Linked DNA regions of Arabidopsis thaliana. The protein of the gene in region 3 binds, or shares a complex with, the protein of the main gene of each other region. Each region holds a gene or a part of one and is shown on either strand. Other genes may lie near its edges.

Region 1 (5,507 bases), about 11 Mb from region 3:
CAATTAGAGAAGTGAGCAACAACAAAGGAAAAAAAAAAAAAAAAGAACACAAAAAAACGGCCACAAGCTCACCACCTTGTACAAGACATACTTCATCTAGCCTCTTGTAAAGGTAATCAAGAACGTGCACAGCAATTTCAGCTGTTGAAATAGCCGAACTCGACTCAAAATACGCATGAGGGATCGCACCTCGTACAACTTGGAAAAGGTATTCAGCATCTGAACACAGACTAGCAAATAGAAAGAAAAAAACTGAAGACTGCTATTAAATATAGTTCTTGAACCGAGAAACAGCATTCAATATATGAAAATGATCTAGGCTACACACCTAGATAAAGAACTAGTTAATCCCAAAAGAGTTGGAGTAACAGCAACATTAGAATCGTTGATCTTCACTTCCTCATTCAAAGCAATATCTCTAAGTCTCTGTTCCAATACCCAATTGTACATCAGTCTCAAATATTCAAGAACAAGCCAAATAAATAAATAAAAAAACTAATAGGGAGTTGTGGACTACTTGCCTCAAGCCAACCAGAGGCAGAGTTCGAAAATGCCATTAAAGTAGGAGGAGATTTAAGAGAGGCATTAATTCCACTAACAATAGACTCCACAAGCTTCAAACATGTAGCAGCATACAAAAATCCAGCGAGAAGGACATGAAGGCTTGACTGAGACAAATGAGAAACTCGTATCTCACTTTTAGCGCGGAAAGTTTGTTCCTTTCGGTCCCAGAAAATGAAGGGACTAGAGAAACCTTGCAAAGCTTGTAAGAGACCTTTCACCTAATTAACCTCCGGAGAAAAAGGGTTTAAGTTGCTTTGCCGAAAAGAATTTGAAAAGAGTAGTGTTTGTGGCATTACCAGATGGGATTCATTCACGCTCACTGAAGGAGGAGCTAGTTCTGAGTGTGTCCAAACTCTGTGACTGCACATCATTCCCGGAATTAGGGTGTCTAAGCCGGCGTGATCAATACGAAGCAACGACTCAGACATCACTGTGAATTTGATTTTCACATACCAAATTGGTTCGGAGGGAAATCGGAGAAGCTTTGATGTGGGTGAATTTGAGAGAGAGTGAGTGAGAGCAAGTGAAGAAAGGTCTCAAATGGGCCCAAATTATAAAGGCCCGTCGCAGTGACAAAGATTATCACATTACGAACGATCTAAAACATAAAACCTTCTTTGGTTGGTTGGTTAAGGTATTTATGAAATGTAAGATATCTCAACTCAACATTCAAAATCAACAATGTCTATAATATGAACTTTTGAGTCTTAAAAGATGCGACTCTCTGAAGTCAAAGTAAGTGAAGTTTCTAAACGACATGATCAGAGTTCAACTGTTAAGAGAAATCTATGAAGCAATGGAACAAATGAAGAGTATAAAGAGAGACTCGTGTGTTGTTGAGTTGCTTGGTGTGTCTTAAGTTGTAAGCAGGAGATAGACGAGGCCTTTTAGATATTCCACTATTTCAGATCCTCCGAGTTTCGAAGTTCCAAAGACTCTGTCAACAAAAGTGATCGGTACCTGCAGATGAAGATGAGCACCAGAGAATCAAGAATATGAATGGAAATATAGTTTAGAAAGAATCAAAATCACAGTGAATTGGTATAAAAAGAGAGACCTCTTCAATATGGTATCCTTTTCTGGTTGCACGAACAATCATTTCCATCTGAAAGACATACCCTTTACTCACACATGAGCTAATCACGTCTTCAAGCGCCGATTTCTTGTATAGCCTTCCAAACAAAGAGGTGCGGAGGTCAGACATGATACTATCAAATGATGTCAGTTAAAAATATGCGCATATGTTATTTGAATTATACCGGAATGATCCTGTTAAATCAGATACACCAGGCCATAAAAGTGTTTGAGCTAGCACATTTGCTCCTCTACTAGTGAGTTTCCGCATAAGATTCCACCCGTGTACACCACCACCTTTTACATATCGTGTACCAGTTACTATACTTGCATTTGTCTCTAGTTGTTTCCTTTATGATAATAAGAAAAAAAACAAATCAGTTGAAGTCACTATAGGTTGTGAAACTAGTAAGAGATCAAGAGACTCTTCTTTTTCTTACTTGATGAAACTTGGTAAGTATTTTGGCTGCACAGAAGAAAAGTGACTGGGTTAGCTAAACAATTAAACAGGTAAACAAGAAAACTAAATTAATGGCTCTTACATGATGTGAAAGATCAGCATCCATGATCACGACGAAATCACCCGTAGCATGCTTCAAACCATGAATATATGCAGTTCCTGAGATTGACCATGCCAAGAAAATTAATTTCATTTCTTGTTAACCAAAACTAGAAGACAATGAAGATACAAATTACATACCCAAACCAAGCTTCTTGGCTCTAGCTCTTAAAAGCTGCATCATAAAAAAGATAAAAACATGATTTCACCTAAACAGAAGAACGCCCAATAATTTACAAATTAAGGTCTTAACACATCATTGTACTCACGATACGGTCTTCACCATACAATTGCTGCAGTTGCTTGACAATTTCCTGTGTGCCATCAGGACTCCCATCATCCACAACAATTATCTCAAAATCAACGTCCCTAAATCATACAAACAAGTAGCGAAGCAAATTCTCAGTAACAGTTAACAAAGAGTCTACTTAACAAGTGCAATTCTATATTAATTTCATATAAGCAGCCATAACCAGAATCGATCTAAGATTAGCACATGTAGCTTCTGACTATTCTCCGATCACTAAATCAAAGTTTTTAAAACACCATGAAACTACTACTATATAGTTTGAGGGATCACTACATTGGCCTTTACTAGCTCATGCACAGAAACAACAAATCACGAATTAGGATCTGCAATCTACAGAAACATGATCGGAAAATTTCCGAGATCCGTAACTTGAAATTGGCGATCAGGTTCGAGTATTCAGTAAAAGAATAACAAAAAACGTAATTCCGATTCTGAAATGAAAGAATGAACGTGAAAAGACCAAAAGAAATAAATATTCATTTACCGGAGATGCTTGAAAATCAGGTAGACTATGATAGCGATGTTGAGGCGCTCGTTGTAGGTAGGAATGATTATGCTATACTTGTACTTCTTCTCTCCTTTGGTCTCCATCTCGTCCGCCATCTCTTCCGGCGAGTTTTGGTAACGGTGGTTCCTTCGTCTTAACCCGTGAAATCAGCCGTCGTCTGTACAAAAATAAGGATTAAAATAATGTCAAATATAGGGACTAAAAAGCAAGTTTCTCAAATTGGGCCTAATATAAATATGGGCCTATATAAAGCCCAAAAATAAATCAGGAAAGCTTTAAAAGAGGTAAACTCGTCAATCGCATCTGAGTCGCTCTTCTTTCCTTCCGCCATTTTTTTCTTTCTAGGTTGCAGAGTTAAAGGAGAAGGTTTTCAATTAGGGTTTTGTAGAGAGAAAGATGAGCCGAAGTTTGGGAATACCGGTGAAGCTTCTTCACGAGGCCTCAGGTCATATCGTGACGGTGGAGCTAAAGAGCGGCGAGCTTTACAGAGGAAGTATGATTGAGTGTGAGGATAACTGGAACTGTCAGCTCGAGGATATTACTTATACCGCCAAGGTAATCAACTGATACTCTGAAGATCTCGATTCATTTTATATGAGACTGTTTTTTGAACCATAGGTTTCGTTTCAATTTCATTGTTTGATGTTAGTGCTGTTAAAACCCTAGATTTGGTGAGCTGGGCAAATTTGCTGGGAAATTTTAGATTGCTTCTTATTTTAAGTTCTAAGTGAGATTAAGAATCCTTGAAATTCATGCTGTATAAAACCCTAGAATGCGTGATCCTGCCAGTGACATTAGATAAATTTTGACTGTAGGGTATAGTCTCCTCTGATTGGTTAAACTTATTATTGATCTATAGGACACATCAATAACTGAGAAGAAAGGTTCTACGTTTGTGCTTTGTAACGTTTTATCCAAAGCCTAAGTTGCTCTTTAGGAATACAGTGGTCAAATGTGAATTATCTGAAGTATGCAGGTCTTAAAGCGTCCTCTTATTTGCGGATTATTGTGCCGTATGGGTTTTGAGTCAACCTGTAATTATTGGGAAAAGAACTACATGTAGTTCTCAATTCAGAAAGTCTTAACTCTTTAAGTGTTATTCTTCATAGTATACATAAATAATCTGTCAACTTAATGGGTTTGTTTGTTAATTGTCACTGAACTTTTGTTTTGGGTTTTCCAATGCTGTGTTACAGGATGGTAAGGTATCACAGCTTGAGCATGTCTTCATTCGAGGCAGTAAAGTCAGGTGCTGTACTTGTTTCCTTGTTTATGTAATTCATGGGATCATTCTTGTTAACCCTAGCTGTTTAGTAATTGACCTGCGGATATATCTTGACAGGTTTATGGTCATACCAGACATTCTCAAACATGCTCCAATGTTCAAGCGGTTAGATGCTAGAATCAAGGTATATATGCTTTTTGAACCCTGGATGCAGAATGATATTAGGATCTCTATACATATCTCCAACAAACATCTTACCTTACTTGCTTAATCAATGTAGGGAAAGAGCTCATCACTGGGTGTTGGCAGAGGTAGAGGTGCAATGCGAGGGAAAGTAAGTTCACCCTCTCTCTCTTATGATTTAGTGCTCATGAATGCAATGTTAGGAAGTTTTATGGAACTTGTTAAGATGTTCAAATCCTTGTTATCCCTTAATGGTTTGTTTCTTCTTTGTCACTACTAATGGTTAGATTCTTGAATCTTTGTGATATTATCTTAAAGCCGGCTGCCGGGCCCGGGCGTGGAACTGGAGGAAGGGGAGCGGTACCACCTGTGAGGAGATGATTGATTTTACGCTCAACATGTAAGCTTTGATTCTGGGATAGTCTTTCTGTGATATCCAGGTGAAAGCCGCCTTTCTTGGTTCTGTCATTAATGCTTTAGAGAACACTGTAAAACCAAACAAGAGAGAGAGATATCCAGATGCACTACTAGTTCTGTATTTTGGGTTACCAAGATGTTTGAATCATTGACAAGTTTTCGTTGTGATCTATTTTCTTCTTTGCGCATTCTCCATTTCTGACAGTAGATGAGTAAAACAAAGTACATTGTTTTCATAAAGGTCTTAATAAGACTAAGATCAGAAAACAAAGTTGGTCATTTATAACATTAATAATATAAGCTAGAAAATAATATTGTACTTGTATTTTCAACATGTAAAACCTTGTCTACTGCTATTTTCCCAAATTATCCAAAAAATTTCCAAAATGACTTGTACAATATTTAGTCTATAAAAGTTTAGTTCCAGAGTACCAGCAAACACCAAAACGACTTGTAGAAGAATATTTGATGGAGTGTAGAGGTTCGGTTCCTGAGTAATATTAACCAAAATGGGTCATAGAGTTTCCTGAGTATTTTACAACGATTATACATGAAATTAGTAGGATCAATTCACAAGTTGAATATAGGAAAGCATGATATCAAAAGATTCTTTTTATTCTCTCTCAAGTGAAGAAAGATCTTAAAGACCTTAAAAAGAGAAGAACCG
Region 2 (7,135 bases), about 10 Mb from region 3:
TCACGATAAGATCCGTCGCCGTAATTCGGATCCGGAACCAAAGTGAATCTCCTGAAAACTTGAGAGGTTTCGTATATATTTTTATAATGAAGGTTCAGAAGAGAATGTTTTAGGCTCTTCACTTTTTTATCAGAAGAAGACGGTACATTACTTCAAAAAGAAAACATGCATTTATTAGTCTGGTCCAAAAAAACGAATCTACACCTTCCAAAATTTTGAAACCTATTTTAGCAAATAGTTAATGACAGCTTTTTTGTTGAAATAAAGAATTGACTATACAAATGTGGTAGAACAGAATTCAAAGCGTGTTGGAAAATAAAATAAAAAAGGAAATTGATTTTTGGTTGTATGTATTAAGTTTTGGTCTCTAGTACAGTACAAGTGAATGGGCTATTGATTTTATTAATTGTACGAAGATGACTTGAAATGATTTATCCATAAGCACTAAGTAGTGCTAATGAGATTAGAAAAAGCTAAAACTATGATTAAATTTCATAAGATAAGTCAAAACCAAAATTCATTACAGACATAGAATAATTGCAAAGAGAAAACTCACTTGTGTCTCTAATGCTTTGCCAGCTCTTAGCCTATGATGACTACTACTACTGATATTTTTCATAATATATCTGTTTCTCAACTTTCAAAAGCACTAATTATGATTTAAGGTGCTTATATTGCTAACAAACTGAATTCCTATCAGTCAATTTTATTTATTTTTCTCTCTAAAAAAGACGAAACCAGAAAAGAAAATAGATCAGTAACTGCCATATGGAGAATACACAAAAGACAAAATAAGAAACAAATATATATATTCGTGAAATGCATCATTCATCTAAATCATTCGTATATTCTGTAAATAGTTTTTTAGTTGAATTGTCAGGGAGCCTAAAATCCATCATCATTAGTATATATTCTCTCAAGAATTTATTTGAGCTTAACATGTGTATGTATTTAGAGTCAATAAGATATAGTCTCGTACGGTTCAACGACACCCATTTAAAGTTTCCGGACTAAACCTCTGAAAGACCAAAACAATGTAGGGACAACTTAAGAAACAAGGACAGAACTTTGTCTTACGGCAAGAGTTGAATGAAATTAAGCCTTCTTCTTTTTGGATTTGAGCATGACCATGCCGATGAATACGGAAATGAGAGAGAGAAGAGCTATGCCGGCAAAGACAGGTACGAGAATGGCATAGTCTTGGGGTAAGAAGTACTTGTGGATGAAGTGATCACTATCTACAAATGGCTGTACAAAACGAAAATTCTATTATGTCAGCTTTTTCCTAGTAATATCCTAAACATTAGATGACATTGGTACATCAAACTGACAATGTCTTTTTAAGGAACTTGGGGGAGATGTTGTCACTTACCAGGATGATGACCCAAAAAGTATAGTACGTGAATATGGACAAGCTGATTGAAGATAGTAGAAGCCCGACTGCTCGATCCGCTAATTCCATTTTGTCAAGTTCAAAACCTGCAGCACCGCAAATCAATTGTGAGAAAAAAATCAGAAAAATTCAAGAAGCTAAGCATTGGAAGATACAGTCAAAAGTGAAGGAAGTTATATTGTGAATGTCAATGAGACCATTTCACCTAGACTTTTCCCATTAGACCAGCTAATGCCATGGTTTTATGTTCTGAGGGTATGCAAACTGTGCTACTGCACAAGGCCTCTAGAAATTAAAACATTTGAAGAACGATAATCACCGGACATATGATTTGCTAGACATCAGATACACAAAGCTCAACAACTGCCTAAAACGAATCAGAGTTGACCTAGGAAGAATCAAACACTTGCAAGACTCTTGTCGTGGAGAGTAGTAATCATCTCCAGGCTCCAAAATCAACAGCTTGAAGTGATATTTGACCTATATACAGATCTTTGAGGTGTTGCTTACACAGCCCTATTCTCCTTCCATTTAAGCTAGAAGGAATACAAACAGAAAATCCAGTTTTCCAACCTGGAAACTTCTGTCTCTCCATTGCATGTAAAGTATAAACAGCAGGTGCAGCCATCGAACAACCAATTACGAAGCAATTGCAAGGCCTTGATTCGCTCACTAATCGAGCTAAAGACAATAAACACAAACCACTATTGGAAAGGCCGTATGTTAGATGTTCATCCCTGTCAAAAGCAGGAGAATCTAGTTTCTCATGTTGTATTTCCTGTTCTATATCTTCAGCAGAGGGAATAGTGCTCAGTTCCAAATCAAGGCGTTTCTCTATTTCATTTTCATGTATTCGATATTTTGCTGCCAAAGTACGGATGCATGACATTCTGATCTGATTATCAATAAGAGCCTTTATCTCATCAAAATTACTACAGCCTTCATACCAAATCACCCATCGCCGAACAAGTCCTGAATACCAATCAATTATTTGGGCAGTATCTAGCAAAATAAGCATAGAATTTGAACGAGCATAACCCTTGGCTGTTATTAATCCGTAGCGATAAAGACGCCTTCCTATAGCATTAGTCGGAGCGACAACATCACCAAAGAAAACAGGTCTATCATGAGATTGTGGACATGGCAAAAGCGCTTCCAGATTAGCCGTCTCTGATGAAACATATGCCGCAGCAGCGTTTTGGAACTTGTAAAACGCATCTCTTAGTTCTTGAGGAACAGTAGGTTCTACAACATGCTTGGACAAGACAAACTCCTCGCTTCTATCTGCAGAGGTTCTTAGCACGTCCTCCATCCATATTCTAAGCAAGATCTTATACCAATGATCTGTTTCCATGCCTGCCTTTCTGTGGCAAGATATTTGACTCAAGGTAGAGTTACTATCCGCCAAACCTTTGATTTCTGACTCTTTGACTTTCTTCAATCCATGTCCTAACCATTTCTTTCCAATTCTAACTGTACCTAAGGTCCAAGCCTCTTCTTTCTGCAATGCAAAGAGCCTAACCTTCTCCTTTAACTTGTGAACAGCTTTGACAGTGGGACTCTCCCTAACATTTTTCCTAACCAAGGTACCCAAAACACGAAGCCCACTGGTCGCTTCACATGGTGACGGGTCTGTCTCATCTGTGATGTCCAAATGCAGTGAGTTCCGTAAGAAACCTATAGCTTCAGATCTGATATCACTTGCAACTTTCTTGGGACCAGACACAGAGAAATATATCTCATCCATAAATCTGCAGCAATAAACTCTGAGTGCAACGTCCTGCTCTGTAGTACTTTTCAAACCTTGTTCTCCGGCTTGCCTCCTAAACCAGGAACGAAGTTTTGAGCCTGGGCTATCTTCATCAGTCTTTGAATCAAGACCAAGGGCTTCATGCCTCATTGAGATTCTATAAAATTCATGATCAAACCGATCAAGATATATGTTCATTAATACACGGGACAACACCCCTTCTTGTGGAAGACCATGGCCCTTGGGAAATCCTCCGAACTCGAGATTGAGCACCCGGGCTTCAAACATAGAACGGAGTAAGATGCTTAAACTGCTGTCTTCTACTTTTTCCTCCATTACAGAGAGCAAGTTCTCGAAAACAGAAACATCAAGTTTTTTGTTCAGGCTCAAAGTGAAACACCAATCCGAACGAGAAATATTGTTGTTGATGTACTTCAATGCAGAGGCACGTCCCCTTCCGCTTCGACAACTATGTGAAATCTTAGAAAAATGAGGACTGAAAACAACTTCAAGAACTATTCTGATAGCCTCTTGGACAACTTTAAGAGCTACACTAGGCAAGACAAGGACCTCTTTTGTTTTATCTCTAGCCACAATCGAAAACGTATTTGAAGCAACATCAAACACCCCACTAGAGAGCTCTTCTGCAATAGAATCAAACGCGACACTACCATTTCTTTCTGTTATAGAAACATTGGAGTTAAGCCTAATACAATCATAAGCATCCCGGAGAGTTTCAGGCCTTGCAATCACCTTCTTCAACAGATCACTAAACTTCCCATTGATGCACTGCTCTTTGACTCTTTTCTTCAACCGGAGTTCAAGAGATCGTTTTAGTTCCATACGACTTCTAGGTTTGCTATCATCATCAACATGAGAAGAAGATTCTTCTACAAGAGAAGCTAATTCCCCAGCTAGTGAAAACATTCCAGTTTCCTTACTAGCCATTTCTGCATTATCTGTTGCAAGCAGAGCCGATTTGGGAAACGTGGAGATTGTGCGACTCCATAAGCCCCGTGGGATTAGGGTTTCTATGTAACATCGGCGCAACAAATCTAAAACTAGGTTCCGTTTCCTAAACATCAAGTTAAAATTCCGATTCCTAATTCTAAAACCTATGCGATTATATCCCGACTAAGCCAGTACAAAGTTTCTACAATGAAACGGGACGAATCAGGTTTTTATCAATCTCTTTGCTTAAATCAACACAGAAATGGAAGGAAACTTACGTTCAGGGATGCGAAAAGCACGATTGGTCTGAGAGATAGAAATCGAAGAAGCTCTTGCTTTGCACAGTGAATTACTCGAGATTGAGAAGAAGAACTCGTGACTTGAGAATAGGAAGGAAGGAGGGACTATTTATGAAATAACATAAACTATTGCTTACTTCTATAAATTACATTTTGACACCTTTAGTTGTAGAATATTTATGTTTTAAACATTTTTTTTATAACAGACTTACAGGTAATTTAGTACGCAACAATGAGGCAGTTTCATTTACCATGAAAGCGCAAGAAAAAATATAGACAAAAATATCATTAAATGATAAATGATTAAATTAATAAATTCGTTAATTCAGTTTGATAATTAAGATAGAAACATGAGTGATCAGCTCTTCCTACGCGGTGGACCGACATCATCTACTTGTTCAATTGTTTATCAGTTTCCTATCAATTGACACTTTCTTATATGTAAAATGCGTTGCTTCATGCTTTGCTTATATTCATTCCCCCACGAATACAATAATATCTAATATTGAGCTACGTTTTAAGTTTACGTACCCCCTAAACCTCTAATTGTTTAAAAGGTTTCAAGGTTCAAGAACTCGGGTTTGGGTCGGATTAGAGCGAGTGGATATATTAGTACCTACAATATATACTTTCTCTTATTGGATCCAAAGCTATTTAATTTGGTGTCGTGCATGTGCAAGTTATTTTAGGTGATAATGTTGAATTTGACCAATGGAAACATCAAAACAACAAATGGGTACGCAGAGAAAAACCAAAACGCACAAACGACGTGGCTTTCAAGTGGCATGGACTTTTAAATTTCATAGCAAAATTTTCTTTTGTTTGGTCGCCTTAGTTGTTTGCCTTAGTTGTTTTGGCATGAACAATGTTGGCTCAATACCATTCACACGTCCTTAGTGTTGTTGAATGGACCATTGTTTTTTTATCGGAGGTTTCCTTTAGTTTTTTCTTTTCAACTGGTGGAAGTTAATAACTTTAAAATTGGTACCACTTTGATTTTTTTAGAATTTTGATCATTATGCATTCTAGTGTCAGAAGACACAACATGGATGCTTGAAACATATGTGGCAGAAGAGAGTGATTCAACTTCCTACTATGATTAGTTGAAGCTTGAAGCTACTACTGTATCTTTAAAGTAATAAAATTGAAGTTATAGAAATATGACTGTAGTTGATAAACATATAAGTAGACTATTTTTAAGATAAAAAATATTAGATGATTATCCTAAATCTTGTTGCATATCATCTATCAACAACTTTGAAAGTTTGATTTGTTTCTGAGTAATACTACTTTTTGCAGATTTTGTTTCTAATGACACAAAATATCATTTTAGCAATTAACTATAATTCCTTTTTTATATTGTTCTCTTTATGGAAGAGAATAGTAGCCTCTGAATTTTCTAATTCAAAAAAATATCAATGGTCTATCACGAAGTGTTATACTATTCAATTCAAAATTAATTGAATACTTAGACTAATCAAGGTAAAATAATACACGCATTTGACTCTTATCACGAAGAAAAAAAAAAGGTAAGAGAAAAATATTTATAACGGGAAAATAAATAACAAACAAAAGAAACGAATAAGATGAGATTTAATGATTAACAATGATTTAAAAAAAAAACATTGGTCAAAGCACGAAGTAAGTCAACTAGTGCCGTCCATATGAATCACATTGGACCCCACCATATACATGTATATTTTGTTAACCTCTTTTTAGTAAAATATCTTTAATTTTTTGAACATTTCAAAATGATGCCAATTTCTTCTCTTTAGTCGTCTAAAACTTAGTTAAATAACACTTTTAAATCTCTGGAGAAGCAAATATATCTTTTAATGCTACATAAGTCACATTCACCATATATTGTATGTAACGTAATTTTTAGATTTACATTATGCAAAAGTTTTATCTATTATCATAAACTTACCAACTCTGACACGAAGTCAAACTACTCTGGACCGGTCAACTTAGATGTCACAACTGCTCACCTAATTGTTGCCCTCGCGAGTTAACTTAAATAAAGTAATCTAATTTTATGGTTTTTTTAACCAAATCACACGATTAAAATTTCTAAACTCACACATACTTCAATATATATAAGTTCAAACTGTCAAAATTTATTAAATGTTACCCACTAGGATAAGTTCTTGAGTGCGCAAGTGGTACCGTACAAATTAAAAGAAAAGCTAATGGTGAATCAAAAACAATATTTGTAATTGTTTACTTTTTCTAAGGAGAACTAAAATGAGTTATGGTTTAGTTTTAGTCATATGAGACTCATCTAGTCGATAAAACATCAATTTTGTTTTTGTTCTAAACGACTTCAAAGTTCAATTTTTGAAATATTCAACAAATGCGGTATTTTTCCTTAAGAAATTTTTGATAAAGACTAGTAACGTAATATATACGTTTATACGGGTCAAAATTAGCATAATATGATGACTCAATTTCACCTTTTTGTAATTAATTTTTGTGTTTGAGGAAAAGTCTAATAAATAGGAATAAATCTGTGTGATGTTCAAAGTTTTTCAGTTGCTTGGTCTACGTGCGGGCTGCTTTGTGTTTTTTTCCAACTTCTCTTTTTCTCAAATCTCTTTCCACACATGAATTTCCATGAAATTCATCTTCTTCCCCGATAATTTCCACATCTTCTCGAGGAACATCGCAGAGGACAGTAAAGAAGCAAACCAAGAAGACCAAGTGGAGGAGGACGATGACTATGGTGACGCGTGTGATCATGAC
Region 3 (5,600 bases):
CACAATGATCAGTGATTATACAACATCAAAGAAAACTTGTAATTCTGGGAATATAACTGAGAAATGAGAATTAAAGATTCATAATTTGAACACAAGAAATCCTAAACTGGTACGAAAGAAAAATTGCTCAACAAAAAAATCAAGCTAATTACTCGTATACAAAGACACGAAGAACTAATACAAGAAACAAGAAACAACAAACCACAAAGAGATTGAACCAATCCAAATTCGACAACATAAACCAAGTGTGTGGGTGATTGGAATCAGAGGACGTACCAAAGAAAAGCGTCCGTGATCAACAAAAACCAAAAAGAGACGTTTGAAATAAACCAGAGGAAGACGAAGAATAATTAAGCAAAGAGAAGCGTTAAGCGGGAGCGAGAAAGGAAACGAGAGAAAGAGAGAGCTTCCAGATCCGACAGAAGTTTTCGGCTTCTTCTTTTTCGTTTAAGAACTTCTGATCCTCCTAGGTCTGTCCGAAGAACTAATCTTTTTGAGGTAACGACGCCGTTTTTCTCAAAACATGGGCCCATTAACCATAGTCTCGGCCCAAACGAAACTTAATACGACAATGTTTGGGTGTAAACGCAAAGATTTTGTCGATTATCACAAGTAAAAAAATAAATACAAACACTTGAGTCTCTCTAGACATCGTGCGTCGCCTTAGCTTTAAGTTTTTTCTCGAAACAAAAGAGTTATTTTATTTGAACTTTGAAGATTATACGAAGACACGTGGCGTGAACCCAATTCATAACAACGCCACGCTATACTCTTTTGCATGCACCTCAATTTGAACATCATCAAGTCTCTCTCTCTCTTTTTCTGACTTTGATCCACGAACCTAACCAGCTTGCGATCTCTATTTAATCGGTCCTCGACGCAACTTCAACTTCTACTACATCCATTCACATCAAATCAATACAGAAAGTTTTTTCTATATATAAATATAAAAGGTAAAATGCCAGGGATCACACTAGGAGACACGGTGCCGAACCTAGAAGTGGAGACGACACATGACAAGTTCAAACTTCATGACTACTTCGCCAATTCTTGGACCGTCCTCTTCTCTCATCCCGGTATATATGTTAATATATAGATCTTGAGTTCTTGACTTCTGTTGCAATTCCTTTTTTGTTTTCTTGATTTTTGTTGACGGTCACACAGGGGATTTCACACCCGTGTGCACCACGGAGCTTGGTGCGATGGCCAAATACGCTCATGAGTTCGATAAGAGAGGCGTGAAGCTCCTTGGTCTGTCTTGTGACGATGTACAGTCACACAAAGACTGGATCAAAGATATTGAAGCCTTTAATGTATAATTTAAATCTCATGCATGCATATACCAGACTAGCTAGAGATCATATTTTGGTTTTGATTAATTTGTTACATATGTATGATATAGCACGGAAGCAAGGTGAATTACCCGATAATCGCTGACCCGAACAAAGAGATCATTCCTCAGCTTAACATGATTGATCCAATTGAGAACGGACCGTCTCGTGCCCTTCATATTGTTGGTCCTGACAGTAAGGTAATAATTTCATATATTATTGCATGTATGATTTTATTGGTTAATTGGATTTGTGATATATAGATAAAATTGAGCTTCTTGTATCCGTCGACCACGGGACGTAACATGGACGAAGTATTGAGGGCTTTAGACTCGTTGTTGATGGCGTCCAAGCACAATAACAAGATCGCCACTCCGGTTAACTGGAAGCCAGATCAACCGGTTGTGATTTCGCCTGCTGTGTCGGACGAGGAAGCCAAAAAGATGTTCCCACAGGGTTTCAAGACCGCCGATCTTCCGTCAAAGAAAGGCTATCTGCGTCACACAGAGGTCTCTTGAAAAGATAATAACAAAAGCCTACTATATAACGTACATGCAAGTATTGTATGATATTAATGTTTTTACGTACGTGTAAACAAAAATAATTACGTTTGTAACGTATGGTGATGATGTGGTGCACTAGGTGTAGGCCTTGTATTAATAAAAAGAAGTTTGTTCTATATAGAGTGGTTTAGTACGACGATTTATTTACTAGTCGGATTGGAATAGAGAACCGAATTCTTCAATCCTTGCTTTTGATCAAGAATTGAAACCGAATCAAATGTAAAAGTTGATATATTTGAAAAACGTATTGAGCTTATGAAAATGCTAATACTCTCATCTGTATGGAAAAGTGACTTTAAAACCGAACTTAAAAGTGACAAAAGGGGAATATCGCATCAAACCGAATGAAACCGATATGAAACCGCATCAAACCGATATAGCGTGAACCAAAATGTGGATTAATGACATTTAGACCGGAGGAACATAAGTGGGGACTATACGGCATCGTTTTAGTGTATAAGTGAATTCGCATATTCACGAGTTCCCCGTATTCACCGGTTGTTATATCGTCGATTCATCGTCGTCGACGGCGAGTACTTGTGACCTCCACACCCAGATTAATCTTCTATAACTGATTTTATCGCTTAGACGATCACGATCTCATCGATTAACTGTGAGTATAATCGATTCCTCCTCTTTATTTTGTGTGTTGTATCGATTTACGATAATTTTTTGGAGGAACATCTCCTTTCGGATCGGTTTTGTTGGGAATTTATATTTCTTTGCCATGGTTTTATCTTGATTTGGTGATTTACCTTGTGTTTGTTCTGGTGTACTATTTAGCTAATTTAGTATAAGCTTTCAGATGATTCTAGGAAACTTTTGTGCTACTGTTTTCGGTTTTTGGTGATAGAACTATGTAGTTTTAAGGAACCATATAAAAATTTCGTCTAGAAATGTTTCTATGGTTACTGATCAGTCATCAGTGGTAGCGATATGAAATTGGAATCCTGTTTTTTGTTACACGGTTCGATTCAGATGCTTTCGATTCAAATCCTGTTTAAGCAGCTCAGGTTCTTTAGAATTCTTGTTTTTTAAATGCTTCTTGCCTGAATGTAAGGGATTTTTTTTGCTATTGCTTTGGTTCCTGTGATTGTTTTTCTTACCTCCTCTGATGTTACATGATCAGCATTTGTGAATTTGGATTCTTGGAAGCTAACACAATTCTTAGGATTAAGTTTCGTATGGTCTGAGACTTTGAGTTCTTGACGTTTGGTCTGAGGAACTGTTGGAACTCATTGATTTTGTATCGGTTCTGTAGCTTCAGTTCGGACTTGATCATCTCAGGAATTGGAAATTGTTTTTTTTTGATGTTACAATATTTCGGAGTCAGATAATTTTCAATTTCTTATTTTGTTTATCCCAGTCAGAGGTCATTGTCGAAAAAGTACGGATTGATCTGGATATAGCATGATGGTTTGAGTTGTATAAACTGGGTTACTGAGCTGTTCAGATTGTGCTAGATTCTAGTTTTACTTTGATGTTTGGAAATTATGTGCGCGTCTTTGTGTTAGTGAACATTACACACTGAAACATGAAAATCCATTTGCTTTGTTGAGACTCCATCTAGTTACAACTGATAGCTATTATTGGTATATTTCTTATGGTTTGAGCTTGTGATCAATTTTGGTGGGGTAAATGGGATGTTAATATTGCTCTTGAGGAATATATGTGTTGATCATGACAACTACGAAATTGTGAATAGTTCATTGATTTACTAGATTTTGTTTATTAGGCTCGCTGAGTGATTTCTTTTACATGCTCTACAACTTCTTGGAGAATGCTGTGATCGTCTATGCATTTCTATTCGCAGCTAACTTAAACTCTTTTACATAATTTTTTACTTTAAAGGACAAATGAAGCATATAGTAAAGATCTTGAGCCTGTTGGTGGCTATCTCTGCCTTCTGGATTGGTCTTTTGCAGGCTGCAATTATTCCTCGAAGCCATACATGGTTGGTGAGTAACAAACAATTTTGTCCTCTTTTTTGGTTTCTTGCTTTTTTGAAATTAGGATTCTGTTCTGATTTGGTATTATTGCCGGTCTGTCTTACAGCTACCGATCTACTTTGTTGTATCCCTCGGATGCTATGGCCTATTAATGGTTGGAGTCGGGCTCATGCAGTTTCCTACTTGCCCCCAAGAAGCAGTTCTGCTGCAGAAGGTACTTTTGAGACTAGCTCTTTGTTTGCCATAGTCGGCCTTGTTCTTATTTTTCATCCTGCTCTATACGGATTCGTGTTATCTAATGTTGACATCCTTCAATATTTTTGCTAATTTAGTGTCTTTTATCTGTTTCTTTGGTTGCAGGATATTGCAGAGGCTAAGGACTTCTTCAAGCACAAAGGGGTAGATGTTGGATCGAATTGACACAAAGGCTTTTATCAGACCATTCATCAGAGATATTTTTCGTTATTGACAAAAGACTTAACTGTACTGTTTGGAATTTTTGAATTTAACAGTGTCACTGAGGTAAAACGCAAAAGCTTCGTATGCATCCAAAAGTAATCGCAAAAGTATAACAAATATTCCAAATTGCAGAAACTTATTAGTAACAATAGAAGCATTTACATTTTCTTGTGGTGAATTACCATAAAGCTTTGGCCTTTGTGTCTAGTAAGTTCTCCAGGTATGCAAAAGAGATCGCATCAACAGATTGAATCAGGCTATCCTCTGTACGAAAACTCTGATATGCAACACACCAAGAAGGTATTAAGTCGCTCATAACTGAGTAGGTTTCAAAAGATACAAATGAAACATTTGGAACCAAACCAGTTTTTAAAAGATACTAAGCAGGAAAATCAAAAGACACTGAACCAAAAAGATCATAAAGATATGACTTTGATATTCAACTTGCATTTGCCTTCTCCTTTCTTTATCTGTCCACAACAACACCTAATTCAAACCAGCTGCTTTTCTGTGTGTTTATGGCTCTCCTTTCGTTCAACCATGCCACAGTTCTTTATGCCTTAAGAATACGCTCCTCTATCGACAATGCTAGCACATTCAGCTCTTGAAATCTCTTATCAGTCTTGTCATTGTTATCAACATCACCTTCACCAAAATCATTGTTTCCCTTTTCAGAGTACTGCTCATTGGATTTCATAGTTTCTTCACTTCTGATGCTATCATCATGAAGCAAACAACAATCCTGTCCCTCATTTCCATCCCCTACAGCGATGTGAATGTTTGACTCATCAGATGACTTCAGAACCTTATGCTTATATGCTTTTCTTGTTTCATCTCCATTCGTGCATCCAGAAGCAAACTTTTTATGAGGGCTAGATTTTTTTTGTTGTTGTCTGCCTTTAATGCTAGCACCTTCTCATGCATTGATCCTTCCATCAGCATCTTCCTTCTCTGCTTCATTACATCAAACACTTTGGTTCGAGCTTGAGCTCTCCTCTGCTGACCCTTCAACAACTTTGTTGGAGCTTTTTTTTTGTGTTTGATCTTTTCTTCTTACTGTTTATGGTTGTTTGTCTGATATTGTTGTTGTTGTTTTGGTTAAGGAGGATGTGGGTGCTTGTGTTGTATTACTCTCCAAGTACGATCCTGTTTTTCTTCTTCTTTTCTCTTCTCTCATGCATAATCTGATTCTGAATTTATAGTGTTTGTGTTGATATTTGATGATAACAGTTGTGATTAGATGCAATAATCTTGATGATCTTAATGAAAATGTTTGTTTGGTAAAAATTAAAAAAATT

What was found.
Region 1: DPMS3 (region 3) and DPMS1 share a complex: the UniProt entries of both Arabidopsis thaliana proteins name them as parts of the dolichol-phosphate mannose (DPM) synthase complex.
Region 2: DPMS3 (region 3) and DPMS2 share a complex: the UniProt entries of both Arabidopsis thaliana proteins name them as parts of the dolichol-phosphate mannose (DPM) synthase complex.

The regions. Positions count from the first base shown.
Region 1 is NC_003070.9:7,125,568-7,131,074, forward strand, and holds DPMS1 (Nucleotide-diphospho-sugar transferases superfamily protein), read right to left. Parts: upstream 3,196-5,507; 5' UTR 3,111-3,195; coding exon 2,992-3,110; intron 2,567-2,991; coding exon 2,467-2,566; intron 2,373-2,466; coding exon 2,339-2,372; intron 2,258-2,338; coding exon 2,181-2,257; intron 2,105-2,180; coding exon 2,079-2,104; intron 1,989-2,078; coding exon 1,824-1,988; intron 1,737-1,823; coding exon 1,622-1,736; intron 1,525-1,621; coding exon 1,420-1,524; 3' UTR 1,180-1,419; downstream 1-1,179. Other genes in the region: AT1G20570 (Spc97 / Spc98 family of spindle pole body (SBP) component), read right to left, coding at 59-230, 329-426, 522-782, 861-992; AT1G20580 (Small nuclear ribonucleoprotein family protein), read left to right, coding at 3,412-3,570, 4,212-4,264, 4,358-4,424, 4,521-4,574, 4,742-4,804. UniProt on the Arabidopsis thaliana protein: Transfers mannose from GDP-mannose to dolichol monophosphate to form dolichol phosphate mannose (Dol-P-Man) which is the mannosyl donor in pathways leading to N-glycosylation, glycosyl phosphatidylinositol membrane anchoring, and O-mannosylation of proteins; catalytic subunit of the dolichol-phosphate mannose (DPM) synthase complex.
Region 2 is NC_003070.9:27,947,193-27,954,327, forward strand, and holds DPMS2 (dolichol phosphate-mannose biosynthesis regulatory protein-like protein), read right to left. Parts: upstream 4,477-7,135; 5' UTR 4,373-4,476; intron 4,222-4,372; exon of another isoform or gene 4,092-4,221; coding exon of another isoform or gene 1,830-4,091; intron 1,827-1,829; exon of another isoform or gene 1,599-1,826; intron 1,480-1,598; 5' UTR 1,463-1,479; coding exon 1,373-1,462; intron 1,249-1,372; coding exon 1,096-1,248; 3' UTR 853-1,095; downstream 1-852. Other genes in the region: AT1G74350 (Intron maturase, type II family protein), read right to left, coding at 1,830-4,091; AT1G74360 (Leucine-rich repeat protein kinase family protein), read left to right, coding at 7,107-7,135. UniProt on the Arabidopsis thaliana protein: Regulates the biosynthesis of dolichol phosphate-mannose. Regulatory subunit of the dolichol-phosphate mannose (DPM) synthase complex; essential for the ER localization and stable expression of DPMS1.
Region 3 is NC_003070.9:17,779,652-17,785,251, forward strand, and holds DPMS3 (dolichol-phosphate mannosyltransferase-like protein), read left to right. Parts: upstream 1-2,336; 5' UTR 2,337-2,507; intron 2,508-3,745; 5' UTR 3,746-3,750; coding exon 3,751-3,852; intron 3,853-3,949; coding exon 3,950-4,057; intron 4,058-4,203; coding exon 4,204-4,263; 3' UTR 4,264-4,560; downstream 4,561-5,600. Other genes in the region: PER1 (1-cysteine peroxiredoxin 1), read left to right, coding at 959-1,076, 1,165-1,313, 1,403-1,531, 1,595-1,849; AT1G48145 (plant mobile domain protein), read right to left, coding at 4,856-5,161, 5,215-5,262. UniProt on the Arabidopsis thaliana protein: Regulates the biosynthesis of dolichol phosphate-mannose. Regulatory subunit of the dolichol-phosphate mannose (DPM) synthase complex; essential for the ER localization and stable expression of DPMS1.